4 linked regions of the Arabidopsis thaliana genome follow. The protein of the gene in region 1 purifies or fractionates together with the protein of each later gene. This does not show direct contact. Each region holds a gene or a part of one and is shown in the gene's direction. Other genes may lie near its edges. The genes, in order: SRT2, ATP3, MPPBETA and AT5G19760.

Region 1 (7,481 bases):
CTTCACGAGAATTAAAAAAAAAGCTAAATCTTGATGTGAATTGTCTCAGCGAATGGAGTTTTCAAAGGAAGTCTCACTGGAATAAGCATCGGAACAGTGACTCAAACACAGAAGATATGGAGAACCTTCCAAGCACTTGGAGACATTGCCTTTGCGTACTCATACTCTGTTGTCCTAATCGAGATTCAGGTAAACAAAAGAAAGCCTTCTTTCCACAGAAGATTCAAAAAATTTCTATAACCAAAAATGAGAAGATTCATTTTTAGGTTAAGAAACACTTTCTTTGCACACAAGTTTCAATTTTTCAATTAAATTTTTGATTCTTTTTGCTCTGTGTAATTAGGATACTGTAAGATCCCCACCGGCGGAATCGAAAACGATGAAGAAAGCAACAAAAATCAGTATTGCCGTCACAACTATCTTCTACATGCTATGTGGCTCAATGGGTTATGCCGCTTTTGGAGATGCAGCACCGGGAAACCTCCTCACCGGTTTTGGATTCTACAACCCGTTTTGGCTCCTTGACATAGCTAACGCCGCCATTGTTGTCCACCTCGTTGGAGCTTACCAAGTCTTTGCTCAGCCCATCTTTGCCTTTATTGAAAAATCAGTCGCAGAGAGATATCCAGACAATGACTTCCTCAGCAAGGAATTTGAAATCAGAATCCCCGGATTTAAGTCTCCTTACAAAGTAAACGTTTTCAGGATGGTTTACAGGAGTGGCTTTGTCGTTACAACCACCGTGATATCGATGCTGATGCCGTTTTTTAACGACGTGGTCGGGATCTTAGGGGCGTTAGGGTTTTGGCCCTTGACGGTTTATTTTCCGGTGGAGATGTATATTAAGCAGAGGAAGGTTGAGAAATGGAGCACGAGATGGGTGTGTTTACAGATGCTTAGTGTTGCTTGTCTTGTGATCTCGGTGGTCGCCGGGGTTGGATCAATCGCCGGAGTGATGCTTGATCTTAAGGTCTATAAGCCATTCAAGTCTACATATTGATGATTATGGACCATGAACAACAGAGAGAGTTGGTGTGTAAAGTTTACCATTTCAAAGAAAACTCCAAAAATGTGTATATTGTATGTTGTTCTCATTTCGTATGGTCTCATCTTTGTAATAAAATTTAAAACTTATGTTATAAATTATAAAACCGTGTGTTTTCAATTCTATATCAAATTATAGTAGTTTGTACTTTGTAGTGTTGGTTGTTTCTTGTTCAAGTGATTATTATGAATGAGTTAGGTGTCGACATATACATGGTGATGGTAAAATGGAATTTGAATCAAAGTGAGACACTGACATTTCAATGATTTGATTTATAAAGGAGCAATTTGGATGGTTTAGCATGAAAGAGAATCTCCTCAAATAAGTATAATTTAGCTGTCCACCCAAAAAAGCCTATTTCAAGAAAATAATATAATGTTGTTCCTTTTTCTAATAGTCTATCTCACTTATCAAAAACATGTAGGGTTCATGGATCTTGGCAATGATCAGAATCTTTGAAAGTATCTACGATTAATAACACGTGTTTGAAAAATCCACAGAAACTTTCAAGATTTGCTACAATGAATCTAAGCTCAGAGCAGAAATGTGAACATGCCTTCTCAGATATTCAGTAATCAGAGGGTAACTAGTTTCTTACAAAGAGGAATTCTGATTTAAGAGACTGAGAAGATGTAGAGAAGAGTTCATCATCCAACAGATGCTTGAGTAGCTTTTTGTGTTGAGTTTAAGGATGCAGCTGCGGCTTCACGCTCCTGCCGGATTCGCTCTCTCTGTAGAGATTCAATGTAACAACAGAGAAACAAACAAAACTAAAGTTAGTCAGTAATGACACAAGACGCCAGGAAACGGAGGGAAAAAAATAAAAATAACAGTAGAGTTATTTCGTGCTTGGTAATGCAACATGATCCAATTTGTTAGTTTACAATGTCGAAACTGAGAGCATACGTCATGCTACCTATGCAAATAACCTACTGTGCCAAGATAGTTAGCTCCAAGCAACTTGTATGACATTTTTCTGAGAAACAACAGACTCCATCATCTGAATAGTTAGCTAACAGTCTCAGTATTTAGTAATATAACTAGTTTGTATCTAAAATCTAAGCGAGAAGAGAACCAATATAGCTACCTATTTAACCACAGAACAAAAGAGGTTCGAGCCCTTAAAGAAATGTAAGCTAAATTGCCCTAGCAAAGCATCAGAATTAGTTACCATGATCATGAACCAGATGAGTTAATCTACACACTTGGGAGATACAGAAACATAATGAAAACAGGAAGTGATCATTGTATTTGTCTCCAAGTTAAAGTACACACTTGGAGACATTGGAACAATAACGAAAACAGAAATTGATATTATAGTCTTGAGAGTTTAAAATCTAAAACATACCCTTCTCTCCCAGTAAGGCAAGAAGCAGACAAAGTCATAGACTGGAGTAATGGTCTGCACCAACACAAAGTTTATTCCAGTGAAAAGCAAGAGTCCCTTCAACGGCCTTGTTCTGTGAGGCATATTTGTTCCAAGTCAAGAATCTTCAGCTCTGTAATTATTTAGTCCATATATCTCAATTACTACTACCATTAACTATACTGATTCAGTTGAATCCTATTATCTTCTCAAAACATAATCAAATTCAAAGTAAAAGCCTTTCCTAGTAAACGTTTCCATTCAACATTATTATTGCAGTTTGCTTCAAGTGACTTACCAGAGATTTTGAAATCAATTCTGAAGAAACTTCCATCAACAAATGTACATTCCTGTAGTAGAGAAAATTGAAAAACATCATTAAGTAGAAAATAATCGAATGATATAAACAAAAGTAATCTTTGGAATCATAAAGAACAATAAAGTACAGAATCGAGTTAATAAACTTGTTTCTCATACACAAGATAATAGAGGTATTAAGAATCAGTTAAAAAACACTACTAGAGTTCATAAAAACAATGAATCAAGAATAATCTAATGTGGCTCCAAGCAGCATACATATCCAAAAATAAACAAAGCACAAGTGATTACAAGCTCTACCAAAAAAAAAACAACCACTGATTCTGTGAGGCATTTCATCAAACACTTGGTTGGCAACAACAATAAGAACAGAGCAAGTGAAATTTGGACAAACCTACAAGCTGAAATCAAAGGAAGCATATGCGGAATCAACAATAACAACGAATAGCGAAGAACAAAGCGATGAAGTTGCATCAAGACAAAAATCGACGAGAGTCACATGAACGAATATTTGACAGAGAACTAACCAGGAGTAGCAGTCGAGAGAGAGATCGAAGCGAGGGAGAGATCGAAGCTAAAGAGAGAGAGCTTCGTCCGCAGAGAGAGAACAAAATCGACGTATGCGGTTTCTGTTTTATTCCAATAACGACGTCGTTTGCATTAGTGAACTATTCAACGGTGGATAATTGCGCTACGTGGCTACTTGCTTAGCCAATAATGAGTTTCAGACGTCCGATTTTTGCCACCTTGTCTTCAACAACAACAAAAAATTCTGGAAAAAAATAAAACGCAAAACTGAAGAAATCTCGTTTCATCCGCCATTAACGACCTCTCAAGGTAATCTTATTACTATATATGCTCTTGGGTATTAATTTCAATCTGTTAGCTTCTCGGTGAAAAACTCGATTGGTGGCTTTATTTTGATCTCAGTAGTACGATACTTTCTAGCTAGATCTTCTTCATTGAATGTAATTGGCTTATCATAGATTCATTTCTCCATTACTTTTTTTTGCTAGTGAAATTGTGATCATAGATTCATCTCTGCGATTTATTAGGCTTTCTATGAACATGAGAAGAGTGTTTGGAGGTGTATCTACAGGCAAGTATGAGAATAATGAATGTTCTTCCTCATCTTTGTGTCCTAGCTTGTTTTGATTCATTACTTACCTATGCAAATGCAATGAGTTAATAATGTTGCTGAGTTTTTCTTCTTTTCCTTCTTCTAGATTTGTTTCCGTCGCGAAGTATGTACCGGCCGCTGCAGTCTGGGGGAAACTTGGTTATGTTGTTTAAAGGATGCAGACGGTTTGTGAGAACAACGTGTCGCGTTTCGATCCCTGGTGGTTCTTTGGGGAATGAATCAAAAGCACCTCCAAGGTTTCTGAGGGATAGAAAGATTGTTCCAGATGCTGATCCCCCCAATATGGAAGATATCCACAAGTTGTATCGACTTTTTGAGCAAAGGTTGATATTTCCTTCACCATCTTTTTCCAGCAGTGAGCATACATGTGTTGTATCTAATGGCTTTCCTCTTCTCTTTTGGCAGCTCGAGACTCACCATCTTGACTGGAGCTGGGGTTAGCACAGAATGTGGAATTCCGGATTACAGAAGGTAATTCATTTGATCGATTAGTCTTGTCTGAAGATGCCTTGCATTCTCGTTTTGATGGTCTCATGGGTTACATGTGGTTCCATTTGATGATTTGGTGCAGTCCCAATGGAGCATACAGTTCTGGTTTCAAACCAATTACCCATCAGGTGATCTGAAGGCAAGATCTATGAAATCTTTACAGTTCTTAATGCAAACCTTGGATCATTTTACTATTGTATAACTGTATTAATCTATTGTCTACAACCTCCTTCACAGGAGTTTACTCGATCAAGCCGAGCTCGTAGGCGGTATTGGGCGAGGAGTTACGCTGGATGGAGGAGGTTCACTGCAGCACAACCAGGACCAGCTCATACTGCTTTAGCATCACTAGAAAAAGCTGGACGAATAAATTTTATGATCACACAAAATGTTGACAGGTATATCCTTCAGTTCCTCTTCCGTAGGATCTCTGTTGGATGTGAAGAATGTTGACTCTAAGCTCTAAGTTGTTAGGTTGCATCATCGTGCTGGGAGCGATCCACTTGAATTACATGGCACAGTATATACTGTTATGTGCTTAGAGTGCGGCTTCTCTTTTCCCCGAGACTTGTTTCAGGATCAGCTAAAAGCAATCAATCCTAAGGCCAGTGTATACCATAACCTGAATAAACTGGATTAATGTATCATCTCGCAAAGTTACAACGTTTTTGTTTCAACTGTAGTGGGCTGAAGCTATAGAAAGTATTGATCATGGAGATCCAGGATCAGAGAAGAGCTTTGGCATGAAACAAAGGCCTGATGGTGATATCGAGATTGACGAAAAGTTTTGGGAAGAGGGTTTTCATATACCAGTATGTGAGAAGTGCAAAGGAGTCCTAAAGCCTGATGTAAGATTGACTTAATCAGATAGAGACGAATCAGTTTAGCTCTGTTTCTTATTATGTTCTCGTTGAATTGAAGGTAATTTTCTTTGGAGACAACATCCCGAAGGAAAGAGCTACTCAAGCAATGGAAGTTGCAAAACAGAGCGATGCATTCCTCGTGTTGGGTTCATCCTTAATGACAATGTCTGCTTTTCGCCTTTGCAGGTGATGCAGGAGAATAATCATCCAGTTTTGAGTTTGCATCTTACTAAGAAGCTTTCTATATACCTTTTGCAGAGCGGCTCATGAGGCTGGTGCTATGACCGCAATTGTAAATATAGGCGAAACAAGAGCTGATGACATTGTTCCATTGAAAATCAATGCTAGGGTTGGTGAGGTATGAGCATAGCATAAAGCTCTTCCCTTTCCTTCAGCCTTGAAAATGCCTTAAATATCCATATTATTTCATGATTGTCAGCCTTAATAATTTGTCATTTCGTGATTGGTTTGCTGCAGATATTGCACAGAGTTCTTGACGTGGGATCGCTCAGTGTCCCAGCTCTCTAGCACAATGTCCGGATCATTTAAGTAAACTTTGGCAAGAGCTATGTTATCATTTAGATCACCTATATATATTATTTATAACTAATCAAAATGAATGCTTGTATTCCTGCAACGTATCTCAAGTTGTAAATCCAACATCAAATAAAAGAGTAATCAACATCAAATAATAGATTCAACACATGAACTAACTCGAAGCAGCTAACACTTGCAGAACATGGTGTTGTTCTGAAAAACAAACCAAAACAACCAAAGCCACCTTCCAATACCCGATTACACAAGCTTTTAAACCTCAGAAAGCTCAGAGAGGGCCTTATCGATATCCTCCTCATGGTTCCGAAGATCGTTCCACTGCATTAAGAAAAAGGTCTCGTGTAATAAGCAGGACATATGCACGTGTGGAAGACATAAACAATGGAAGAGAGATGTGAATACCTGTTCCAGGCTTAGAGAGATACCTGCAACATATAGGAGACATCGAAAATCTTGTCAACATGATTATGCAAAGAAAGCAAACTAATATAGCTGGCCCTAGGAGACAAAAACCAAGACGTTGTTGATGAAAAGAAAACACTCTGCGCATCTCCTCCTCTCAGTCCCAAACCGCAGAAGTACTAGATATATAATAAAAGTCCCTAAGATCTGCTAACTAAATGCAGAACCTTAACGAAACAAAACATGAAAACAAAGGGATGAGGATACATTGTTGACCATAAAAAAGAAAAGAGAGGAGGATACAGAGTATTAGCAAATGTGGAATTGTGAGAAGAAGAGAGACAGTCAAAAGAAGATATGTAGTTAAAAACAAAAATTTACCTTGCTTGCTATTACAAGGTAAAGTTATACCGTCCTTGACAAAGAACTGACGAATGGCAATCCAAATCCTCCCATTGCAATTCCTCACAAAGACTCTCCGATTCTTATCTAACTGGAATGTAAACAAAACATAACATCATAAACAAATATCACAACTTGATCCAAACCCTAAAACTCATACGAACTGCTACAGACAAAAAAGAGATGAATAGTAGAGAGACTAACATTGCAGATGAAGATGTCCTCAATCTCGTCCGCTGGCTTTGCCACTTTCTTAGGCGGCGCGTGGGTCTCAGATTCGTCGCGGTCGTCTGATGCTCTGACATCCTCGTCTTTCCTTTTTCCGTTCTCAGACATTTTCTTAACCTCTAAAAAAAACACTCTTCTACTGCAAAAATTGACTCTTGAGATTCTCAAGTTAAATAAAAAGCACCTCTCTCCTTTTCTCGCGTAATATATCTACTGCGTTCACCGAATTACAACTGTGATATCAGATTCGGAACGCCATTTTACAAGCGCACAGTTTGAGAACACGCGCGGCCAAACTTAAAACGGGGGAGTTTTTTGGGAAGGTAAATATTCTTTGGAAAAGAGCAACTATAGCAATGAAAGTAGCAACACAGAGTGATACATTTATTGTGATGGGTTCATCTTCAAAGACAATGTCTGCTTATGGCCTTGTCCGGATCAAGTGAAGTTTGGCAAGAGCTATGTAACATTTAGACCTATCTTGTTTATAACTTATCAAATGAATACTTGTATTCCTGCAACGTATCTTAATTTGCAAATAAAACAGCACTACAGCAGTAAATAAAAGAGCAATCATTATATTCTTAATACCAACCAAAGCTTGTCTGAACCAAAAGTGAAAGATTCCATACACCAACTAATTTGAAGCAGCTTACACTAGCAGAACATGGT
Region 2 (7,658 bases), on another chromosome or scaffold:
TTATTAAAACTGTCCCATCTTGAATCCAGATTCATAAACAATCTAACTGGATCTACTTGCTTGCCCTTAGCTGGACCAAGTATCTTGACAAACCACTTCGGCTTGAATGAAGCAATAACGTGTGCCATTACCAATCCAAGTAACAGTCCAGGCCAATACCCGAAAAACACTGCTTTCCACTCAATCACTTCGTCCTCTTCTTCTTCTTCGTCTTCTTCCTTGGGATATTTTGTTGGTGGCGCAACGCAACTTCCTTGGAGAGGAAGACCACAGAGACCTACATTCCCTTCAAATGATGATTCAGCTTGCCCACTAAACTGTGGTCCCTGTGGTATTTCACCTTTGAGTTGGTTATGAGCTACACTTATGTACGCCAGAAATGAGAGGCTCCCGAGTTCTCTTGGAATATTCCCTGATAGTTGATTTCTTGACAGGTCTAGTGACTCGAGCTCCGTAACATTTGCCAAAGACATAGGAATATGGCCAGTGAAGGCGTTGTTCGATAAGTTGAGCGCTATCAATTCCTTCAACAGACCAATAGACTCAGGAATCTGTCCTTCAAGTTTGTTTCCAGAGAAATCAATGGTGCTGTAGAAAGTAAGGACTTTCCCCTGCTCCATGAATAGACCTTTGTATTGCAAATCCATTGTATCTTCATAGATATAATAAGCATTCTTGTAGTCTCCCATATAAATACGCCCATCTTCATTTATCTTGGGTGATGATGCTTTCCAGTTAACAAAGAAATTTGGTGGCAAGCTTCCAGTAAAGCTGTTATCTGACAATTCAAGTATCCGCAGCTCGGGAAACGCGAGAGGACCTCGATCAGGAGGAGAGAGATGGCCGAAGAATCTGTTTGAACGGAGAGTCAAGACATGCAAATTGGGTAGCGCCTTCAGCCAGAAAGGAAACGTGTCTTCAATTCTGTTGTTGTCAACACTCAGAAACCTCAGAGAGGAGCAATTCAAAAGTGATTTTGGAAGCTTCCCGGTTAGTCGATTATAGCCAACGTCAAGCGTCTGTGTCTTAGCACCGCTATGGAACTCGTCAGGTATACTTCCTTCCAAGCTGTTCTTCCTGAGGTTTACTACTTTTAAGTTACTCAGACATTGAGGAATTGGACCGGTGAATTTGTTGTAGGATAGATCAAGGACGATGAGAGAGCTTCGGTTGCAGATTGAGAGAGGTATGTTCCCTGTGAAACTATTGTTCCACGCAGACAAGTAGATCGAACCGAGTGGTGGAGTAGGAAACGCTCCTGTCATGGAGTTATAGGCAAAATCTAGTAACTGCACTGATGAGTTAAGTAAAACTTCTGAAGAACCTTCGAAACCAGTCAAAGAATTGTTAACAAGATTTGCTATGCTAAGACGAGGAAGCTTCCAAAACCACTCAGGTACTTTCCCTTTGATTAGATTGTTGGAAATGTCTATATGCTCCAAGTTTTGAAGGGTCTTAAAGATGTTTGGAAACTCGATAATGTCGCACTGGATCAAAATCAAGCTTATTAAGCTCAATGGAAACTCTGAATCTGAACTTAAACTGGCTGGTAATAACCTATTTTGACGAATATCAAAGACCAACAAAGATTTGAGAGGAGCGAAGACGCGTAAGTCAATTGGGTGACTTATGTTTAGGGAAGCAAGTTCAAGATGGTTGAGGTTTATGAGCTTTGAGATAGGCTCTATGATTTTTCCTTCAAATTGGTTAAACCCAAGGGACAAACGAACTAGCTTAGATGAAGAAGAAGAGTTTGGGACATCAATAGAACCAGTGAGATGATTCTTTTTCAGATCAAGATAAGACAAGAAAGGCAAAGTGGGTAGTAAATCAAAAGGTATGGCTCCTGAGAATTGATTGTAAGAAAGGTCTAAAAAGGAAAGCTTTGTTAGGTTTCTTACAGGTGGGAAACTACCAGTGAGCTCATTATGGGAAAGGTTTAAATGGGTAAGCAAGATAAGGTTACTAATTGAGGAAGGAACTTGACCAGTAAAGCTACTAGAGGCAAGAGACAAAACCTCTAATCTGGTGAGATTGCTGAATTCAGAAGGGAGTGAAGAGGAAGTGAAGTTGTTGTGAGAGAGATTAAGGTAACGAAGCTGATGCAACTCAAAGAGACTACTGTTTGGTTTGAGAGTTCCAGTGAAGCAACCACTTGGGAGCTGAAGCTTCGTGACCGCACCAGTCGTGTTATCACACTGGACTCCGTTTAAGTAGTCACTGCGGTTGCAGCCGTCAGATTCAAACTCATTCTTGAATTGGATTAGAGCTTGGATCTGGTCAGGAAGACAAGCAAGAGCGTCGGTCGTCAAGAAGCTTGAAACGAAGACGATACAGTAGAGTAAGAGTAGCGAGCAAAAATGCAAACGCATGGTGTTTGTGATTGAACCAACAAGTTGAGGAAATTATTGAACCCAAAAAAAGACATATCAAAGATTTGCTATATATATGTTATTTTAAGCCGCCTTTACTAAATATGTGGGGTTTAAATGTCACGTGAAATGTCTACGAGTCACATTTGTTCATGAAGTAAATTCCACGTGGACATCTCTGACTATATAACTGGGAGTTATAGTTGACTGTTAAAATTGGCTTCAAAATTTAGCAACAAGAGGAAATCAACACTCAGCAATTTACTCTCATTGGATCAAATGAACGCACATTAATATGACGTAACGATGATGACAATTCTGTTTAATAGTATCTTATTGTTTACAGATACAGAAAAATAAATTAAGTGGGCCTTTCAATAATTAATAGGTTGGTGAAATGTTACCTTCTCTTGATATTTTTTTAATTTTCATTTATTATGAGTATGTTGCGTTATGAAACAACTCGCATTAATTTGGTTATAGATTGGAGAAAGAAGAAGTCATGGTCAAAACTCAAAAATGTAAAAGGAAACAAGACGTGTATGACGACGTGATTGATAATCTGAGGAGATACCTTTGGGCCTTATAAGATGGGCCGAAAAAGTAATAGTATTAGCCTCTATTCGGCCCGATTAATTTCAGGGGAAATTTTGGTAATAAAGTGGAAACGACGTCGTGACAAAACTACTGTGTAGACTGAGAAATAAAGAAGCCCTTGATTTTGCCCATTGCAGTCATCTCTCTCGAATCTCTCTCTATAATCCGATCTGAGAAATTTCGCCGGAGCTAGGTTTTGTTGTTTACCGATCAATCCTTTAATCAATGGCAATGGCTGTTTTCCGTCGCGAAGGGAGGCGTCTCCTCCCTTCAATCGCCGCTCGCCCAATCGCTGCTATCCGATCTCCTCTCTCTTCTGACCAGTGAGATCTCTTTCTCATTCATCTTATCCTTGCGTATAAACACACATTTCGCTGTTCCTCTGTGATGCTTTTCTGAATTTGAAATCGTTTGATTTAATTGAGTCGTTGATGTTTTCATTTCCTTGAAATTCGAATCGACGAAAATTTATGGAAATTGTGTTGTTTGACTCGGGAGCTGCTAATGAGTGAGGTGTTTTTGTTCGTCTATTTGGAGTTTTGAGACTCGGAAATGTCCTGTTAAGCTCGTTTCGTTGAATTTCCTATTGCAAGACCAATTTGATTTTCCTCGTAGAAGAGACTTTGTGATATGTTGTCTAAGCTCGTCAGATTTAATCAGCTTTTACCTGCAAAACTTTGTGATATTTAGGATGATGAGGACTAAACTTGTATTTGATTTGTAGGGAGGAAGGACTTCTTGGAGTTCGATCTATCTCAACTCAAGTGGGTAAGTCAAAGCTGATAATTGGAGATTGGTTTTACCTAGTTAGGATTGTGTTCTAAGAAATCTGTGATGTTCTAATCTTTATGAATTGCTTTACATGTATTCTCTGTGCAGTGCGTAACCGCATGAAGAGTGTTAAGAACATCCAAAAGATCACAAAGGCAATGAAGATGGTTGCTGCTTCCAAGCTTAGAGCAGTTCAAGGCCGAGCTGAGAACTCCCGTGGACTTTGGCAGCCATTTACTGCACTTCTAGGAGATAATCCCAGTATGGTTGGCTATATAGAGTTGTTTTTCTTAATAACTTTGTTCTAGTATCACTCCGGGCTTGCATCGGTATTGAATATTGATGACGACGAACAAATCTGTTGCTCTTACTATAGTCTGAGATATCCATCCTCTTGCTATCTCTTGTTGTTATTGTGGATGTGTTTCTGATTTCTAGCGTTACTTGATGGAAAAACCAGGCATTGATGTAAAGAAGAGTGTGGTGGTCACTCTCTCTTCTGACAAGGGTCTCTGTGGTGGAATCAACTCCACTGTCGTTAAAGTGAGCAGGGCTCTGTACAAATTGAATGCTGGTATGTTTGAAAACACTACGATGGTTCCGTGGTTTAGTTTTCCTGAATTGCATATCCGATATTAATTCTTATATCATTGCAGGTCCTGAAAAGGAAGTTCAGTTTGTTATTGTCGGAGAGAAAGCAAAGGCTATAATGTTTCGTGACTCAAAGAACGACATTGTCCTCTCTGTAACAGAGCTGAATAAGAACCCACTCAATTATGCTCAGGTAGTTCTTAGTTGCTAATAGTTAGGAGCAATAGTTTCTCTCCCCGATCCATTTGTTCTCGAGCTATTTATTGTTGTCTATAGTGTTTCTTATGTTTACTTGCTGCTTCAGGTGTCAGTTCTAGCTGATGACATCCTGAAGAACGTTGAATTTGATGCTTTGCGCATTGTCTACAACAAGTTCCATTCAGTTGTCGCATTTCTGCCAACTGTGTCCACTGTTTTGTCACCTGAGGTAAGTCATAACTGTTGAACGTCTCAATTTGTGCTTAATATTTCACATTCTGCTTTAAGTATAAACTTGATTGTATATGTGTGTGTTTTGCATTGAAAGATTATTGAGAAGGAGTCTGAAATTGGAGGAAAACTTGGCGAGCTTGACTCATATGAGATTGAAGGTGGGGAAACAAAGGGAGAAATATTGCAGAATCTGGCCGAGTTCCAATTCTCTTGTGTAAGTAACCAAGAAAGTTTAACTTGATTTATGGTATTTCAGCATAGAAAGAAACATAACATTTTGGTTGTTTACGTAAATTCTACTAGGTGATGTTCAATGCGGTTCTGGAGAATGCATGTAGTGAGATGGGAGCAAGAATGTCTGCCATGGACAGCTCAAGCAGAAACGCAGGAGAAATGCTCGACCGTCTCACCCTCACATACAACAGGACTCGTCAAGCTTCTATTACAACAGAGCTTATTGAGATTATCTCTGGAGCTTCTGCTCTTGAAGCTGCTAAATAAGCCCATCCGTGTTAGTTCTCTTTTCTTCGCTTTGATATTTACCCCCACCTTGAAGGAGAAGAGTGTGTTAAAATTTTACTGAATCAGTTTCCTTTGCTGGCTTCTTGTTGAGACCTACCAATGTTTGCTCAACGATTTTTAATAAACATACCTGTAATTTCCAGCAGGATTTCGAATAATTGCATTAACATTTTGTTCTGATTCAGACTCGCTTCCTCCAGAGTCTGTAGTGTTGTTTTGTGCAAACACCATGTACTCCGGTTTATTTGATATTTTTTTACCTGAGCCAATATTTTGTCACTTCGCCAGGTTTTGAAGTTTGAAACTTTGAATAATCCCACAAACAAATCTAAACAATATATCCAATGCAGTGTATGTTGTCATGCTAGTGGATTTCTAGAATTTTGGAATTATGTATAAACAATCTGATGTTAGAAAGTTTAAACTGATGTGAATCCAATCATGTGAAACAAATTTTATGGCTCAATATCTCCTCTTGATCGAGGTCCACTAGGGTATCCAGAGCTGCGGATATTTGAGATATCTGGTAATAAATTTACCGGAGGCTTGCCACCAAATTATTATGAGAATTGGAAAGCATCATCACTCACGCTAAAATCAAGAAGGGGGTTTATATATGATATACACTAAGAATGCTTACGGTAGCATTTCTTATACCTATCAAGATTTTATAGATTTAAGATACAAAGGTCTACACATGGAGCAAAAGAGGATTCTTACTTTATACAGCGCTATTGATTTTTCCGGAAACAGACTTGAAGGACAGATTCCTGAATCCATTGGTCTCTTGAAGGCACTGATTGCACTCAACTTATCAAACAACGCTTTCATAGGTAATATTCCCATGTCTATGGCCAATCTTATTGAGCTTGAATCATTAGACATGTCTAGAAACGGACTATCTGGGACTATTCCTCAAGGACTCAAGACCCTCTCGTTTTTGGGGTACATAAATGTGTCCCATAACCAACTCAAGGGTGAAATACCACAAGGAACACAAATCACTGGGCCACCAAAATCCTCATTTGAAGGGAATGCAGGGCTTTGTGGTCTTCCTCTCGAAGAAAGTTGCTTCGGAACGAAAGTGCCACCAATACAACAGTCAAAGAAAGAAGACAACCAAGAGGATGCAAAAGTGTTGAACTGGAAAGCAGTGGCAACAGGGTATGGACCTGGAGTTTTTTTTGGATTGGCAATAGCGCAAATCATTGCTTCATACAAACCGGAGTGGCTCGTCAAGATAATTGGTCCTAATAAGCGTAGAAACCATTAAGATTTGTTAGTGTTTGATTTTTGAATGTATGTCAAATTGTTACTTGTTTTGCGTATGATATTTGAATGTTTGTCAAGTATTCCTTGGTCTTGTGGTGAAGCAGGTTCTCTATGCTTCATTCAGCTTTCCTCTGTATCTTGGAAGAGAAAAATACTAGAGGCCGGGAACGGGAATCACGTTATGGATTTTTTGGTCTCTGACAATAAAAAGTAGAAAATCCAAACTCTTGTTATTGTTATCCCACAGGAGGAAATCCGTTCTTGTTATTTTCATCATTGGATTCTATTTCCGTGTAAAAGTAACTTTTTCCCCTAAAAACAAGCTTCTCTATTTTGTAAACAAAAAAATAAAGAAACAGAGGAAGGAGACGAGAGGGAGAAACAGAGCAACATATGAGATCTGTTTCCTAATGAATAAAATGCATGAGAGAGAGGGACCGAGACTGAGACTGAAGTGTGGCGGTGAGATCATACGGAGCGTAAAAAAAAAACAAGAAAAAGATAGATGTTCCCTTTTCTGTGTTTTCTTGGATCCCAAGTAAATTTTTGATTTCGTTCACACTCTAAGTTCAAATGGATTGAAAACTACGTGTGTTCGTCGCTAGATTCAGTTTTTTTAGACTAGACAATTCTTCTTCTTCTTCTTCTTTCTTTTTGGATTCTTAAGTTCCGACAAAAAAAAAAACTAGTCAATCTCGTTTTCCACACACTGAACCTGGTCCCTAGACCCTAGGCACATATATATTCCTCTAATCAAATATTTCAACGTTAACGAAATTATGTTCAGACCAGGAGAATGTACTACTAATAGACATAAACTCTTTGTGATCTGTTCATAATTGGGTTTGTTTAGAATAAATATTTCCTCTTATTCGTCAGAGTAGATAACACATTTTCCACGACGTCCTTGTCGTTTAGGATTTGATTTCGGACCTTTTGACTCCAAGAAAACATGTCCCATGCGTTGGACAAAAAATAGTGACATGCACATGCATTTGGTATTCAGACTTTATGATTCATTTCCCACTCAAAGACTTCACTTAGCTCTAACTTCTTCTAAGTCAACTTGTAGCTCCAAAGCAAAACCACATACCGTTTATT
Region 3 (8,164 bases), on another chromosome or scaffold:
ACTTCACATTTCCTGAGAGGCCATGTAACTTAACCACATACAGACTAGGACTAGTGCTTATGAGAAATAGCCAGTAATTTTCCTTTCTTTTCTAACAAAATTTCCTTTGCATCTCCCTTTGTGCAGTTTGCAGCAAAGATATGCTTGCTGACATCCTTTAGAGACACTTGTTTCATTGAAATTATACCTCAATACCAAGCACCTAAGGGTGGTGAGACTACAAAAAAAAAGTTTCCTTTCACTTTCGCATATCGCTTTTTGATATGAAGTGACATCTGACAAATACAGTTTTACAAGTTGTGACTCTTTATGTTTGCTATTGTGCAGTGTTATGGTTAAGTTTCTGGTCAGAGGTGCATTATAACTCTTTATACGATATTCAAGGTTTGTTTTGTCCTTTGGAAATGTAACGAAATGGTGGCTTTGTGCTTGATGACACTGATTATGATCTTCCTTTTTGAGTGTAGCTGCTCCAGTTCAGCATAAGCCAAAGAGAAAACATTGGTTGTTCTAGAAGGCACGCCACCATACATGTATTATATTAAGACCCTTCAACTATTTTTCAGTCAGTTTGTGATAAGTCTACCGTCTCATACGCGAAAACTCTTCCTTTACACCTCTGTATACTACTTACGAACTCGCTTGAGCTGTAACATTTTAAAGCCGAATATGATATAGTCGGACCGAGACAAAGAAAATATGACAGTTTCCATAACCTTAGTGGAGAATCTCTTGAATTTGATGGGCCCTTTTTAAAGCTTATCAGAAGCAATAAGGGAAGTTTTTGGTTGGTATGAAACCTGGATTTCCATGAATTATCCAGTCCAAAATCATATTATCCATATAAGATTCAGTTTTGTCCTTTTGTCCTTCGAAATTTCTTCTTGTGCATTTGAAAGATGAACTGTTTATCTCCCGCAGACCATGTCGTTATACGAACTACAACACTGTCTACTTTCATGTTAGTATCATGATTCATGAGAGTTTTGGATGGACTACTTCAAAGTCCAATGTACGTTGGGACTGGCTACATCTTCCGCCGAGAGCAACAGAGAGCATCATTGCTAGTTTGGAATAAGAAAGGTCGAGGCTATCTCTAAGGAAACCAAAAGCTAGCTATGATATTGAAGAAAGATGACATCTCTTTGCCTATGAATGGAGAGAATACAACAAAGAATATAATGTGATGAAGATATCTAATCTTTGCTTCTCTTCTCTCAAAGAAATTTCGGTTAAAAGTGAAGCATAAAAGTGAGATTAGTGGCACTAAAGAAGGATGAAATTAGCAATTTAGGGATGAAGAAACCATATCCTATTATCCTTAAATCGGACGAACACAAAAATACGGTTGAAGACATAAGTTTCAATGTCCAAAGCCATCGCCAAAAAGATAAATTTTTGAACATTATGAGCGCAAGTCTTGAGAATGAAATGGTAACAATTCTTAAAAGTAAAGATAAACACTAAAAGCACAATGGCCTCAAAAGTAGAAGAAGAACAAAAAAGAACATTAAGATCTTCAAGGTTCAACTGCAATACGGCCAGCAACCTGGTCCAAATCCCTTTGGCCACTGGAAGTGATCCTTCTTCCTCTGAAAGAAGAACAAAAGTGATACTAGTATTAGCATAAAAACATTTTTAAAGAGAAACACCTCTAACGTAGTAGTAGTAGTAGTAGTAGTAGTAGTAATGTTACCCTTTGGTGTCGAGCTCAACAATGTTCATTGTCTCCAGCTGTTGGAGGATGTGACGGGCAATACCACCACTGCTTTTGCAAAAGTGAGGTGGGCGACTACCGTTCCTCTTGCTTCCACCATAGATTCTACGGAAAGCACCAACACCAAGTCCTCCCCTCAGGTAAACCTTCCTTGCCATAGATGCTGCACAAGAAGTCATTTTGCTAATTGAAAACTTTATAAACGCATAGAGATAATAAGAGACAAACTAGGATGAAAGAGAACTAACCAGCTCTGATGTAGTACCAATCAGGATCATATGGTGCAAGCTCCTTCAACTTTCCGGTCTTCACAATGTCTGTCCATGTGGGAAGCTCGATCTGAAACAAACAATTATGGTCTCGTGAAAACCAAAACAATTGTAAAAAGTGGAGCTTGACATTCAAGCTATTGTAATTGCTAGTGTAAATTAATTCAACAGACGTAACAAAGCAAATCACAATATTAATCCCAAGCATTTGAATCTTAAGCTGTCTATTAACAAATACTAAGAGTAACACTTGTGATTCAATAAATATTAGCAACATATACAAAATTTCAATACATTCAACAGACATTACACAATTCAAAGTATTATAGAGAAATGCCAACAATCAACAGAAATATCTATGAACTAATGGAAATCATTGCAATTTGAGCTTAATCCATCTTTATTCGAGTACATACAAATAAAGCTTGGAACATTTCTACTCAAACAAAAAAGAAGAGACTTTATCCACTAACCTTGCCAGATCGCTTGAGATGAGAAGCATAAGCCTTGACGAAGTCATGAGGCGAGACGTCTTTCACAGTTTTACCAGTTGCCATGGCTCAAGTTATCAAAAGACTAATCACTGATCTTCGTCTGGGATTTTGCCCAACGCAGCTGAATCTCTCTCCGCAAAGACTAGGGTTTTTATTCTCCAATAACAAAACTTATATATACGGCCACGATATTTCGATTAGGGTTTTCTCCCCATATCCGGGTCAAAAAATCCAACCCGTTCTCAGCCCACACTAATGGGCCTAATTCTTCATACGGCCTTACTATCTAACCAGTATGAATAATGTTCTTTGATACGATAATGCGCCTACTACGGCCTTATTATATCAGTTGACTAGTATTATGTCCTAAACGACACCGTTCTTAATTAGTAACATTAAATGACGTCGTTTTATAATCGCTTAACCACTGGCTATTAGTTCGCATCTCAAGTCGTCTCTGCCATTTTTGGCTTTTTAATCAAACCCTAGAGAGATTGAGAGAGCGAAGAGAAGCCATCATCAGCCATGGCGATGAAGAATCTACTGTCCCTAGCTCGCCGATCTCAGAGGCGTTTATTCCTCACTCAAGCCACACGATCTTCCTCTTCGTTTTCAGCTATCGATTCGGTGCCGGCTTCCGCATCTCCGACGGCTCTATCTCCACCGCCGCCGCATCTTATGCCATACGACCACGCGGCTGAGATTATAAAAAATAAGATCAAGAAGCTCGAGAATCCTGATAAGAGGTTCCTTAAATACGCATCTCCACATCCGATCCTCGCTTCCCACAATCACATCTTGTCAGCTCCGGAGACTCGTGTCACTACCTTGCCCAATGGTCTACGAGTCGCTACTGAGTCAAATCTCTCGGCTAAGACCGCCACCGTTGGAGTCTGGATCGACGCTGGATCTCGGTTTGAGTCCGATGAGACCAACGGAACGGCTCATTTTTTGGAGCATATGATATTCAAAGGCACGGATAGGCGTACAGTGAGAGCGTTGGAGGAAGAGATCGAAGATATTGGTGGTCACCTGAACGCGTATACATCGAGGGAACAGACCACTTATTATGCTAAGGTTTTGGATTCCAATGTGAACCAGGCTTTGGATGTCTTGGCTGATATCCTACAGAATTCTAAGTTCGAGGAACAGAGAATTAACCGCGAACGAGATGTCATCCTCAGGGAAATGCAAGAGGTATGTATTTGTTATCTCTGTACTTAAAAAACTAAACTTTTTGTTCTGTCCTCGATTTATCTTTCGTTTTTTTTTAGTGAGGTGGTACTATGGACCGTAGTTTGTGTTTTTTTAGATCAATACCCTTAGTTTCAGTTTCCCGTGTGCCTGCCTAAAAATGAAAACTTTAGTATGTTCTTAAGTTATCTTCCCTTTTTTTAAGGTTGTATTGGCATAAGCACATGTTCTATAGAGAGATGTTATTGTGTTTATATAAACCATTGCTCTAAAAATGAAAACTTTGTTCTGTTTTTGGATTATCTCTCGCATGTTTTGGTTTTATTGGCTTAGTCATATGTTGGTCGTATTGTTGTTGGGAAATGTGCATGAAGGGAGATACTAGAGCGCTTGGTACTCTGCTCTACGTGTTGGTTAGAGTTATTTGTTTCTTTAATCAGTTAAAGATAGAATACACATTAAGCTTTAGTTTTTTGATAATTGGTTTGGTCGTAGGTGGAGGGACAAACCGATGAAGTGGTTCTTGACCATTTACATGCCACTGCATTCCAATACACACCCCTTGGAAGAACTATTTTGGGACCTGCTCAGAACGTCAAATCGATCACCAGAGAGGATCTACAGAACTACATTAAGACTCACTACACTGCTTCCAGGATGGTATAGATTTTGGTTACTTCTTATCATTTCCTACAATCACTTATTGAATTTTTTAGGATTCTTATCTTGGTTCATCCAAAACATTTTCAGGTGATTGCTGCTGCAGGAGCTGTTAAGCATGAGGAAGTTGTTGAGCAAGTGAAGAAGCTATTTACCAAGTTGTCGTCTGATCCAACAACTACTTCTCAACTGGTTGCCAATGAACCTGCTAGTTTTACTGGTTCTGAGGTAAGGACACAACCATATGATTTTGTTATATGCAATGTTCCATCTTTCTAAATTCTTTAGTCCGTGAAATTCTTCTCAGGTCCGAATGATTGATGACGACCTACCCCTTGCACAATTTGCTGTTGCCTTTGAGGGAGCATCTTGGACTGATCCAGATTCCGTTGCTCTTATGGTTATGCAAACTATGTTGGGTTCGTGGAACAAAAATGTTGGTGGTGGAAAACACGTGGGGTGAGTTTACTCTCTGGCTAATATTTCTAATGATGGATTTAATGAAAAGCTATTTCGCAATGTGTTGATGAACATTATGGTTCTATGTGCAGTTCTGACCTGACCCAGAGGGTTGCCATTAATGAAATAGCAGAAAGCATAATGGCATTCAACACTAACTACAAGGATACTGGACTGTTCGGCGTTTATGCAGTTGCCAAGGTCAACCCAGAACTCCATAGCTATCTTAGTTTCATCTCTTTCTTGTATTTGTCAATATTAGCAGTTTCATCTCATGAATGCCTCGTATTATATCTCTTTTAACATCTTGTAAGGTACTTTTTTCAGGCCGATTGCTTGGATGATTTATCATATGCCATTATGTATGAGGTAACCAAGCTGGCCTACCGAGTTTCAGACGCTGATGTGACACGTGCACGAAATCAGGTAAACGCCCAACTGTTCTTTCTCTCTTTCCCAAGATTCAGCTTTAAGCTAGTTACAAATGTGATCTGTTTAAAGTTTTTTTTTTCTTTTCCTCCTGTTTCTTCGAACTCCTTACTTATTTGTAGATAGATTTTAAATGCCAACTGATTTTAAATTTCTCTGCAGCTGAAATCATCATTGTTACTTCACATGGATGGAACCAGCCCAATTGCTGAAGATATTGGTCGTCAGGTATGCGATGAATCATTTAAGCATCTTAATTTAGAACTTATAAGTTTATAAATGCATTGGTCAAAGATAACAAACCTTGACTTTCCTTATAGTTGGTGTTTATCTTCAAAATCATTCTAATAAAACGCCTGGATTTTTGTTCTAAATGCAGCTGCTGACCTATGGGCGTAGAATCCCAACCGCTGAACTCTTTGCTAGGATCGATGCTGTTGATGCCAGCACGGTAAAACGTGTTGCCAACAAATATATCTATGACAAAGTAAGTTCTATTTCTCTCTCCCTCTTGCTCTCTCTATCCTCCAAGGATTAGACTGCTAAACAAGAGTACAAACGTCAAGAGTGATTAAGGTGATTTTTGGGATTATGTGCAGGACATTGCAATCTCAGCTATTGGTCCAATCCAAGATTTGCCAGACTACAACAAATTCAGACGCAGAACCTACTGGAACCGGTACTAAGGCTCTGAAATAAAGGTCACTGAATCGCAAGGTTCGCCCACGGGGAGATTCCGTAGGCGGAGAGAGCAGAACGAGGTGATGATGGATTCATTATTTTTGAGTTTTTCTTACTGTATCTTCATAATTTACCATCATCGCTGGTAAAATAAGTGTACCATTTACTCTTTGTCCTCTACTGGAAAAATGCTAGAGATCCTCTGTGTGTGTTTTTTTTGTTCTCTTCATAATTTTCCCATACACATACTAATAAGTTCTTTGATGTTTGGTTGAAAACTTGAATTGGATACATTTCATTTCTTCTTGTGAAACTCTATCAATTCACTTGTGATTTGATCCAGTTGACAAATTTATTAAGATTCTCACAAGATATTCCATCTTTTGCAACACTTTTCATCACAATCTCTTTAACCTTCATAGCTCGTTCTTCATACTCTCCACCGTCTCTCATGATCTCATCGATCTTCTTCTTAACCTCTAACCTCGGAACCACTCCTCGTGCGTCTCTTTCAAGTCCTAATCCAATCTTCCACACATCGCATATATATGCTTTGTTGATAAATTGGTCTGCAAAATAAGGGATGCATAGAAATGGTATGCCATTTTGGGCTCCTTCCAGAGTTGAATTCCATCCACAATGGCTCACAAAACACCCAATGGCTCCAGAAGAAAGGACCTCCCGTTGTGGAGCCCATCTCACCACTTTGACTCGATCCGACCCAAGTTTGATTGGTTGTTGATCACCAGTGACCCACAAAACTGGCCTGGTGAATGGATCAACATAACTTATTACATAATAGACACGCATAGAGTAAGTAGGGTAAACCGGAACACACAAACCCGGTTATGTCCAAATCATTACCTCTTGGTAAGCTCTAGACCAATTGCTAGCTCTTCTAACTGAGGGTTGCCCATGACCCCAAAACTCCCAAAGGCAACATATATAACCGAACCGGGAATCTGCCGGTCCAACCAATCTAGACAATCCCGGTCATGAGGTAAAAAGCTTCCTAGTGACGTGGATCCCTCTTCAAGACTATGAGCCCAACCAATGGGCCCAATTGGTACTATATTCGGGCCCAATCCAAATGCTGCAGTTTCAAGTTCATGGACAGAGTTACACAACAACCAATCCGTTGACTCGATCGAGTTATTGTTTTGAAGCATAAGTTGGAATATGTTTTTCTGAGATTCTTTGTTCTTCAGACAAACCCACACAAACTTGTCTGTTTCCATCTTTGGCATCCCGGGAGATAGTTGAATTGTCTTATTTACTCTCACAGTCCCTACATAAAGAAACAATAGCTATATAACGCATCTTTTTCAAAATTCTTCTACCAATGAATCATCAAATAAAATAAAACATGACCATTTTCCAAAAACATCACTTAATATGATACTATTAAATTTTGAAACAAAAGGTTATATTTGTTCTTACCATCAGAATCTATGAGACCATCATCGATAAGTTTTTGAATACTAAATCCAAGAACCATAGACGCAGCTGCAGCAGGACAAAACGCGGTGCGTCTGATCCCAAACTTAGCTGCAACTTCAATTGCCCATCCCAAGCTCTGATCCGCTACAACGCAGCTAATGATCGTACCACCGCTAGTTTCTGCCATCATCCTCTCGATCAATTCCTCTACTTTTTTAGGCATAAAACGCAAAACAGACTCCGACAACTTCCCTGGAATGTTCCTCTCTTCTGGTGAATCTTCTAAACCGTCAGGGATTGAAACAAGATTGATCTGATCCCCAACATAATCTTCATGAGGTGAATTGGGTAAGGAACTGATGATGCGGTTATGGTTAAACTCGGTGTTTATGAATGTAATTTGGATTCCTTGTTTCGCAAGGTAACGTGAGAAACTTATTAGAGGAAGAACATGACCTTGTGCAGGGTAAGGTATGACCACAACATGTGGCCTTCCCATTCTTTTATTTGAGTTATTATCCATATGTATTTTGAGTTATTGTCTATATATACATAAAAATTCATTCATTTATAGGAAAATTTACAAGATTAAGACGGAATGACTCGACAACTAATTCTAATTGATTTTGTCGTTTTTCTTTAGGAATCAAGACAAGTTTGATCCCAAGTTTGACTTGTGTATAACAAGAGAGCAAATGAGCTTAGTTAATGACACACCAAACTAGCATTTTCTCATGTGAATATGGGAAACAAATTGATGAAGGCCTTCAGGACTTAGGAGAATGTAAACGTAAAACAATTATAGGCTAAATAATTAAATA
Region 4 (7,721 bases), 3.8 Mb from region 1:
AATAATCAATTTCCCACAAAAATCATGGAAATTAGGAAAAAAAGAAGATCTCGCTCACCGCTCTCATTTCCTCAATTCTCCGTCCGTCGAAGAAGCGAATCGCTCGAAATTAGGGTTTCTACTGAGAGAAGATGCGAGAAATCATAAGCATTCACATCGGACAAGCTGGGATCCAGGTCGGAAATTCGTGTTGGGAGCTTTACTGTCTCGAACATGGAATCCAGCCGGACGGAATGATGCCGAGGTATAAACCCTAATTCACTCTTTGTACTCTGTTTCTGTGGATCGGAAGATTTTTGAGATACGAGTCTTTTGCGTTGTTGCAGTGATACTACAGTTGGTGTTGCACACGATGCGTTCAATACTTTCTTTAGCGAGACTGGTGCTGGGAAGCATGTCCCTAGGGCTGTCTTCGTTGATCTCGAGCCTACCGTTATCGACGAAGTTCGTACTGGTACTTACCGTCAACTTTTCCATCCAGAGCAGCTCATTTCTGGGAAAGAAGATGCTGCTAACAACTTCGCTAGAGGACATTACACTGGTGAGAATCCACTTTCTGCTTGTTCTAACTTGTTAGGGTTTTTGAAATGGTCCTTAGAATGCTTCTTGTAATTGCAGTTGGGAAGGAAATTGTGGATCTATGTCTTGACCGTGTGAGGAAACTTGCCGACAACTGTACTGGCTTACAAGGGTTTTTGGTGTTCAATGCTGTTGGTGGTGGAACTGGTTCTGGATTGGGTTCTCTGTTGCTAGAGCGTTTGTCTGTAGATTATGGAAAGAAGTCTAAGCTTGGTTTTACCATATACCCTTCTCCTCAGGTACTCTTTCTTTTGCTAGACACTGAAGTAGAAACTCTTACATGACATGTTTCTATAGTGGTCTAATTTGGATGAAACTTGGTTTTAATGCATATTCCTCTGTGATGTCAGGTTTCTACTGCTGTTGTAGAACCTTACAACAGTGTTCTCTCAACGCATTCCCTTCTTGAACATACGGATGTAGCTGTCCTCTTGGATAACGAAGCCATCTATGACATTTGCCGCAGATCCCTAGATATCGAGAGGCCAACCTACACAAACTTGAACAGGTTGATATCACAGATCATTTCATCCTTGACAACATCTTTGAGGTTTGATGGTGCCATCAACGTGGATATCACTGAGTTCCAGACCAATCTTGTCCCATATCCCCGTATCCATTTCATGCTGTCATCTTATGCACCAGTCATCTCAGCCGCCAAGGCTTACCACGAGCAGCTATCAGTCCCTGAGATCACCAATGCCGTTTTTGAGCCAGCTAGCATGATGGCAAAGTGTGACCCGAGACACGGAAAGTACATGGCCTGTTGTTTGATGTACCGAGGAGATGTTGTTCCCAAAGATGTTAATGCTGCTGTTGGCACCATCAAGACAAAGAGGACTGTTCAGTTTGTTGACTGGTATGATCTAGAAATGGATAAAGCTGCTACTGTTTCTACCTTCATGTTGTTATTATATAATAACTCCTTTGGCATGGGTTTTGTTTTGCAGGTGCCCAACTGGGTTCAAATGTGGAATCAACTACCAACCTCCAACAGTTGTTCCAGGTGGTGACCTCGCTAAGGTTCAGAGAGCTGTATGTATGATCAGTAACAACACAGCAGTTGCAGAGGTGTTCTCACGGATCGACCACAAGTTTGATCTCATGTATGCGAAGAGGGCATTTGTCCACTGGTACGTTGGTGAAGGAATGGAGGAAGGTGAATTCTCTGAGGCACGTGAAGACTTGGCCGCACTGGAGAAAGATTACGAAGAAGTTGGTGCTGAAGGTGGAGACGATGAAGAAGATGAAGGTGAAGACTATTGACACCTTTTCTCAAAAAAACTGCAACCAAAAAAAGTTTTTTCGTTTATCTGTTTTCACTTTTGATTCTGTTGATTGTTTAAATCCTGTAAAATATTCGTTCGGTCTTCGTGTTTTATCTCGGTTGGATACATTTTCATTGGTAGAGCGACCATTGCGAGTTCCCGAGTTCATTATCAAGCTTTTGTTGTACCAAACTTTGATAATCTTCTTACAACTGTCCATTTTTCCTTGAAGTATAATCTCGTCTATCGGTGCGCTAACGTTTATCAACGTTCTGTATATGCTTTGTTGTCGTATCAGCTAATAATACATTTATGAGATTCAACTAATGTTAACAAACCACGTTGATCTTCACAAAAGGGCATCAGAATTATCAAATTGCATCAGAAATACTGCTCCACTGGTCCACTATCTAAAATACGGCGTGAAAAATGCCAAAAATTATTGAACAAATACAAAATACAAATACAGAAGATCAATTTTTTTAAAAAATTAGAATTTATTGGACCCAAAAAATTCAGAATACTAACGATTTTCAACTTCATACTAGAAAATTAGAAATGGACGAATGTCAAATCTAAAATTCATATGAATGCGTAATAAATAACTCTAAATATTTGGATTGCGTAAAATCCGAATGGTGAAAAGTAAAGTCCAAATTAATAAATTTAGAAAATATGTCTGGCTTAGATCAGATCTCATATGCAAATGGAAAAAAATAAAAATTAAAAAGGCAAGGGTTTGGTGCAATTTAGTTTCAGTTGGGTGGTGTTAATATAAAAGGCCCATAAGCTTCACACTTCATCGTCTCCTCTCCACCAAGTGAATCTCTTTCTCTCTCTCTTTTTCTCCGCGGAAGGAATCTCTTCTTCTGGTTGCGTTTGAGTCCGTACGAAAACAAAAGAAAAGAGAGAGATGGCGGAAGAGAAGAAAGCTCCAATCAGTGTCTGGACTACCGTGAAGCCCTTCGTCAATGGCGGTGCCTCTGGTATGCTCGCTACTTGCGTTATCCAGCCGATCGACATGATTAAGGTCTGTCAAATGTTTACGGATACACGTTTCTGTATCACCCATCTCTATGTCTAAGCTCGTTAGTATTAACAATTCTTGCTTGATTTGCTGGTATTGATACCTACGAAATCCGTAAATGTTGTTCATCAGATCCGAGTCTGTAGATTTTATCTCTCAGATCTGAGTTTTTGTTTTGGCTTATTATAATCAAATTTCATTGCTCGGAACATAGTCAGACTCGTTTGAGTGTGAATTGTTGCTATTGATACATGTTTAGATGAAATGTTCTAGTTCAGATCTGGATTTTGATTAGAATAACGTTCTTAGGTTCATCACAATGTGTGATTCTTCGCCTGTGTTCATAGGATTTTTAAATGATGTGAATGTAATTAACTAATACTTTGTTTTGTTTCTGGTTGGTGAAGGTGAGGATTCAACTTGGTCAGGGATCTGCAGCCAGTATAACCACCAACATGCTTAAGAATGAGGGCGTTGGTGCCTTCTACAAGGTATAAATTGCATTTCTGGATGCATTACTTATCTTGAAGATGTACGTTTTGTGTAGTATGTTTTCTATTGATATGTTCATGACTTTTGTTGATTTGTAATGTATATGATTTCTGCATTTCCGGATCTGAGTCTCAGCTATTCAAAGAATTAATTTCCTTATCTAACAGTCTTTCCAACAACAACATTAGTTATACCCCATTGAAGATGTCTCCTGAGCTTATTTGATGTTAATTTTTTTTAATAGGGATTATCTGCTGGGTTGCTGAGGCAAGCAACTTACACGACAGCCCGTCTTGGATCATTCAAGTAAGTTAGTCATTCGTCTTTCGTCTTGAGCCCATCCAGATGAATAGATTTTTATTGCCTTATGGTTATGGATAAATCATCCTCTCTTCTGTCAATCTTATTAGGTTGCTGACTGCAAAGGCAATTGAGTCTAATGATGGAAAGCCTCTACCGCTGTATCAGAAGGCACTATGTGGTCTGACAGCTGGTGCTATTGGTGCTTGCGTCGGTAGTCCAGCCGATCTAGCACTTATCAGAATGCAGGCCGATAATACTTTGCCGCTAGCTCAGCGCAGGAATTATACCAATGCTTTCCATGCGCTTACCCGTATTAGCGCTGATGAGGGAGTTTTAGCACTTTGGAAAGGGTGTGGGCCCACTGTGGTCAGAGCTATGGCTTTGAACATGGGAATGCTTGCATCTTATGATCAAAGTGCTGAATACATGAGAGATAATCTTGGTTTCGGGGAGATGTCTACGGTCGTAGGTAAGCTGCTCTTCCAAGTTTCTCATACAGTAAGAATATATTTTTTCTGTGAGCAGGTAGATAGCAGTTAGAGTCAAGGATCCTAAGAATCAATCGTCTTGGAAATTTACATTTGTAGCATATAATCTCCTGATTACACGAGTGTTAGATTGTCATAAATTAAATGTGTATTTCACTTAATACAATCTATCCAAGAACTACACCAAGGAAAATACTTTATTAATGAGAGGACTCTCTAAACTCTCAACCGTTGCCCAAACCCAGATCTAAGACCAATCCAGAATGGATCCCATTGCGTTGTCCTTACTCCCTTTTAAGAGCTACTAATTGTAAGGTCGCTCAGTTGGCAAAACTACACTTTTCTCAACTTCCTAGGCTTGTTACACTAGTTCTGCACTAGACTTAACAAGAAACCTTTATCAGTATTTTCATATGGTCATGTAATCTCTGTATGATAAATTGTAGTTAAAATAGATCTCTGAGTTTGGTTTTTGTTTACTTTAACAGGAGCAAGTGCTGTTTCTGGGTTCTGCGCTGCGGCTTGCAGTCTGCCATTTGACTTTGTCAAAACTCAGATTCAGAAAATGCAACCGGATGCTCAAGGAAAGTATCCATACACAGGTTCGCTCGATTGTGCGATGAAAACCTTAAAAGAAGGAGGACCTCTGAAATTTTACTCGGGTTTCCCAGTTTACTGTGTCAGGATTGCCCCTCACGTCATGGTATAATAGCTCTTATCTCCCTTTTTTGTTTATGTTATTGTAATTACCACTTCGTGATTGCCTCTAAGATAGTTGTTGATCGGGTTTTCTTTTGGCAGATGACATGGATCTTCCTAAACCAGATTACGAAATTTCAAAAGAAGATTGGTATGTGAGGAACAAATACAGCAGCAAAAAAATAAGATGAGAAGAACGAAAACACAATTGGAATTGTGTTCATTTGCTTTTTAATCATATACATAACCTGCCTTAAAAGCATATTATTGTAGCTGTTTGAACTTTAATTTTTTGTTTCGGTCGGTGATTGGTCCGGTGAATTTTAAATTTTCTTCTTTGGTGGAAGTTTAAGACACATAGCCAGAGATTTCAAAATTTTCATACGAACTAAAAAAATTCTCTGAATGAGGAAACAATAAATATATGAAACATTGATGATGGGGAAATATTTGAAGTGCTTGAAGAAAAGCTTGTTTCAACTCTAAGAAAATGTCAAGTGCAGGGTTCCCAAATAATTGTTTCGAAACACCAAACATTTGCATCAGCAGACAAGACCGTTTCCCCAAAACTCTGCCGATAACAATCCAGCAACCACCTCTAGGCTCCAGGTAAGAAACATGTCTACTTTGCAACAACTTCTTTGTGAGCTTTGAATGATAAAATCACATTCCAAGCCAAAGCCACTACGTTTGAAGCAAGTACCTGCAATAATTCATATATAAGACATCGATTCATCCTCAAAGCCAAAGAAAATCTTGCTAAGCATACTAGCTAGAAGCTAATGTCATTCAAGCGTAATTCATCTCAAGCTCATCATGTCAAAGATGTTTTTAACAAGGGCTCAAAAACATGAAAATGCGTAATAAATTCTCAAAGATTATACTAAGCAGAGGATTAACAGCGTGTGGGTCGTTATTCGTTATGTATGAAGCATATCTATCTTAACCCAATTGTATTTTTTTTCAGACTCCCGTTTCATGTAGTCACAGAGTTTAGTATCAAACCTGGTAGTTCTGTGGAACAAATCTGAAGTTAAGAAACTGAAATGGTATCCATAGCTGCCAATTTGCTATCATTGCACCAGTCCACTCCTATACAACCAGCAATTCATGGATTCAATTAGAACACCGCAAAAGATACAAAGTATCAAATTTAGATTCCTGCACCGGAAATATTAAGTTTAGTTAGGTTTTAATCCAACCTGTTGTAGCTTCGGTATGACATTTGATGGTTTTCCTTCAAGTGTCACAACTGCTGATAAGAAAACTCCAACAAAAATAGGAGCAAAAACAAACTGCAAATACAAATTTTGGTGTTAAGTGCTAACACAGAGGAAGCAAGATGGGAACATAATTGTTAGACTGGGAACAGGAAACTTTGCTACCTGATCCAGTAGAAGTCGTATAACTGCGCCTGATAATCCAGAAGCTGTCACCACTTTGCTCAAATACAAATACCTAATGGATGGAGTTGAGAGATTTCAGAGAACAGAGAATAAGCATAAGTAATATACCAATGGATGCATAAGTCTCTTCAACTGAAGAACCACTAGCAGAGACGTAATATAGTTAGCTTTTGCGGTGTCATACGAGTGAAAGGTCCACGGAAATACCAGAAATGCAATGTTGGACCGACTAGCCCTAAGCCCAAGAAGGTAAAGGTGAGTGTCCTCTTCTTGTCCAGCGATGAGGTCTTGTTGATAGTAAGCTGCAACCAAAAGTGATACGAATAAGCAATGTCGCTCACATATCTAGCAGAATACGATCAAGCATTATAAAGAAAATGGGGCTTTACTACATTATCCTGTATTTTGGGTCTATTAGCTTCCATTCTAACTTTAAAAAAGAGATAGCACAATTCAAGTTAAAGTCTGTCTGTTCAGAAATACATAATGCAGCAGCTCATGAATACTGTTTTATCTCGATATATCCTGAATAGTGAAGAATCCAAACTTCAAAGATAGCACAAAAATGAGAGAGTTACCTGACAGATCAAATCTCCAACGAGGTTCAAAAGTGCTGCGGTCACAGCTTTGGTCAAAACAGGAGAGTTTGAGAGAAGAGCCTGGTACCTGAAGCACCATAGAAAAAGGCACACAAAGTGTGTTTATGCTCAAGTCAAAAGCAAAGAATCATACTAGAAAAAAAGTGTTCCGTGAGTAAATTATTAACACATCCAAGAAAAATTTCCAACATCTGCTTCAATGAATTGCTTTTCAAAGAAACATCTTTACACAAGAACAGGAGTAGTGACAGGAGCAAGTAAGAAAAATTACCATGAGAGAAGTGACCACTTCTTTCCTTTTCCGTCGCTTCCATCACCACCACCGCCGCCGGAACCACCACCACCACCGCCTGAACCACCTAACCCGCCAGAGCCACCTGAATTCCCACCTGGGACCGCAGAGACCCGGACTAGATGCCCAAACGCAGTCCCAGAACGCCCCGGCCAATTGCTCCGACCACACTTCAGTGAACCAACATTTTTGTACCCAAACGAAAGAGCCTTGCTCGAACTACCTTCCGTTATAGTTCTTCGACCAAAAGACGAAGAGTGATTACCTGAAAACCCAACAGAGTTGAACGGGAGTGGTGGTTTCCGGGTTAAAGTGATAGAGTTAAGCATCGTTGTTTCGTCTGGTCTGAGACTGAACGGCGTTGACTCTAGCTTTTACAAGTATAGAACTCCTGAATCTAGCTTCCGGTTGTATTTTGGGCTTTTATATGGGCTTTAGTAATGGGGTTTTATATGGGTCTTCATATGCTGATATGCATCGAAGCGACGCCGGAGTGTATTGATCTCACCGGAGGTTTTCAAAGCGTTTCAGGGTTTAACTTTAATCAAAAGAAACAAATTTTAAGCAA

Evidence for each region.
Region 2: the proteins of SRT2 (region 1) and ATP3 purify together in Arabidopsis thaliana (affinity purification with mass spectrometry, with the first as the bait; one study listed by BioGRID). This does not show direct contact.
Region 3: the proteins of SRT2 (region 1) and MPPBETA purify together in Arabidopsis thaliana (affinity purification with mass spectrometry, with the first as the bait; one study listed by BioGRID). This does not show direct contact.
Region 4: the proteins of SRT2 (region 1) and AT5G19760 purify together in Arabidopsis thaliana (affinity purification with mass spectrometry, with the first as the bait; one study listed by BioGRID). This does not show direct contact.

What each region holds. Positions count from the first base shown.
Region 1 is NC_003076.8:2,867,864-2,875,344, forward strand, and holds SRT2 (sirtuin 2), read left to right. Parts: upstream 1-3,544; 5' UTR 3,545-3,695; coding exon 3,696-3,697; exon of another isoform or gene 3,698-3,784; coding exon 3,785-3,828; intron 3,829-3,955; coding exon 3,956-4,193; intron 4,194-4,275; coding exon 4,276-4,341; intron 4,342-4,441; coding exon 4,442-4,487; coding exon of another isoform or gene 4,488-4,498; intron 4,499-4,596; coding exon 4,597-4,757; intron 4,758-4,833; coding exon 4,834-4,963; intron 4,964-5,042; coding exon 5,043-5,207; intron 5,208-5,280; coding exon 5,281-5,408; coding exon of another isoform or gene 5,409-5,412; exon of another isoform or gene 5,413-5,480; coding exon 5,481-5,580; intron 5,581-5,699; coding exon 5,700-5,750; 3' UTR 5,751-5,916; downstream 5,917-7,481. Other genes in the region: AAP2 (amino acid permease 2), read left to right, coding at 50-189, 344-1,000; AT5G09225 (uncharacterized protein), read right to left, coding at 1,693-1,776, 2,394-2,516; AT5G09240 (ssDNA-binding transcriptional regulator), read right to left, coding at 6,030-6,202, 6,561-6,672, 6,786-6,917. UniProt on the Arabidopsis thaliana protein: NAD-dependent protein deacylase. Catalyzes the NAD-dependent hydrolysis of acyl groups from lysine residues.
Region 2 is NC_003071.7:14,016,584-14,024,241, reverse strand, and holds ATP3 (gamma subunit of Mt ATP synthase), read left to right. Parts: upstream 1-3,056; 5' UTR 3,057-3,194; coding exon 3,195-3,292; intron 3,293-3,693; coding exon 3,694-3,737; intron 3,738-3,848; coding exon 3,849-4,001; intron 4,002-4,200; coding exon 4,201-4,314; intron 4,315-4,396; coding exon 4,397-4,524; intron 4,525-4,635; coding exon 4,636-4,758; intron 4,759-4,857; coding exon 4,858-4,977; intron 4,978-5,066; coding exon 5,067-5,264; 3' UTR 5,265-5,632; downstream 5,633-7,658. Other genes in the region: RLP26 (receptor like protein 26), read right to left, coding at 1-2,372; RLP25 (receptor like protein 25), read left to right, coding at 5,902-6,558.
Region 3 is NC_003074.8:362,619-370,782, forward strand, and holds MPPBETA (Insulinase (Peptidase family M16) protein), read left to right. Parts: upstream 1-2,930; 5' UTR 2,931-3,005; coding exon 3,006-3,677; intron 3,678-4,169; coding exon 4,170-4,334; intron 4,335-4,424; coding exon 4,425-4,562; intron 4,563-4,641; coding exon 4,642-4,793; intron 4,794-4,885; coding exon 4,886-4,994; intron 4,995-5,120; coding exon 5,121-5,219; intron 5,220-5,384; coding exon 5,385-5,450; intron 5,451-5,601; coding exon 5,602-5,713; intron 5,714-5,821; coding exon 5,822-5,916; 3' UTR 5,917-6,221; downstream 6,222-8,164. Other genes in the region: AT3G02070 (Cysteine proteinases superfamily protein), read left to right, coding at 127-211, 328-384, 468-514; AT3G02080 (Ribosomal protein S19e family protein), read right to left, coding at 1,520-1,592, 1,697-1,880, 1,966-2,056, 2,460-2,543; AT3G02100 (UDP-Glycosyltransferase superfamily protein), read right to left, coding at 6,222-6,669, 6,768-7,191, 7,344-7,866. UniProt on the Arabidopsis thaliana protein: Catalytic subunit of the essential mitochondrial processing protease (MPP), which cleaves the mitochondrial sequence off newly imported precursors proteins. Preferentially, cleaves after an arginine at position P2.
Region 4 is NC_003076.8:6,676,885-6,684,605, reverse strand, and holds AT5G19760 (Mitochondrial substrate carrier family protein), read left to right. Parts: upstream 1-2,551; 5' UTR 2,552-2,760; coding exon 2,761-2,877; intron 2,878-3,281; coding exon 3,282-3,365; intron 3,366-3,610; coding exon 3,611-3,672; intron 3,673-3,776; coding exon 3,777-4,138; intron 4,139-4,645; coding exon 4,646-4,860; intron 4,861-4,958; coding exon 4,959-5,015; 3' UTR 5,016-5,300; downstream 5,301-7,721. Other genes in the region: TUA3 (tubulin alpha-3), read left to right, coding at 132-244, 327-541, 619-818, 930-1,438, 1,530-1,845; AT5G19750 (Peroxisomal membrane 22 kDa (Mpv17/PMP22) family protein), read right to left, coding at 5,479-5,559, 5,862-5,948, 6,059-6,151, 6,242-6,314, 6,470-6,564, 6,841-6,928, 7,133-7,482. UniProt on the Arabidopsis thaliana protein: Catalyzes the transport of dicarboxylates, such as oxoglutarate, oxaloacetate, malate, and succinate, and of tricarboxylates, such as citrate, isocitrate, cis-aconitate, and trans-aconitate by a counter-exchange mechanism across the inner mitochondrial membrane.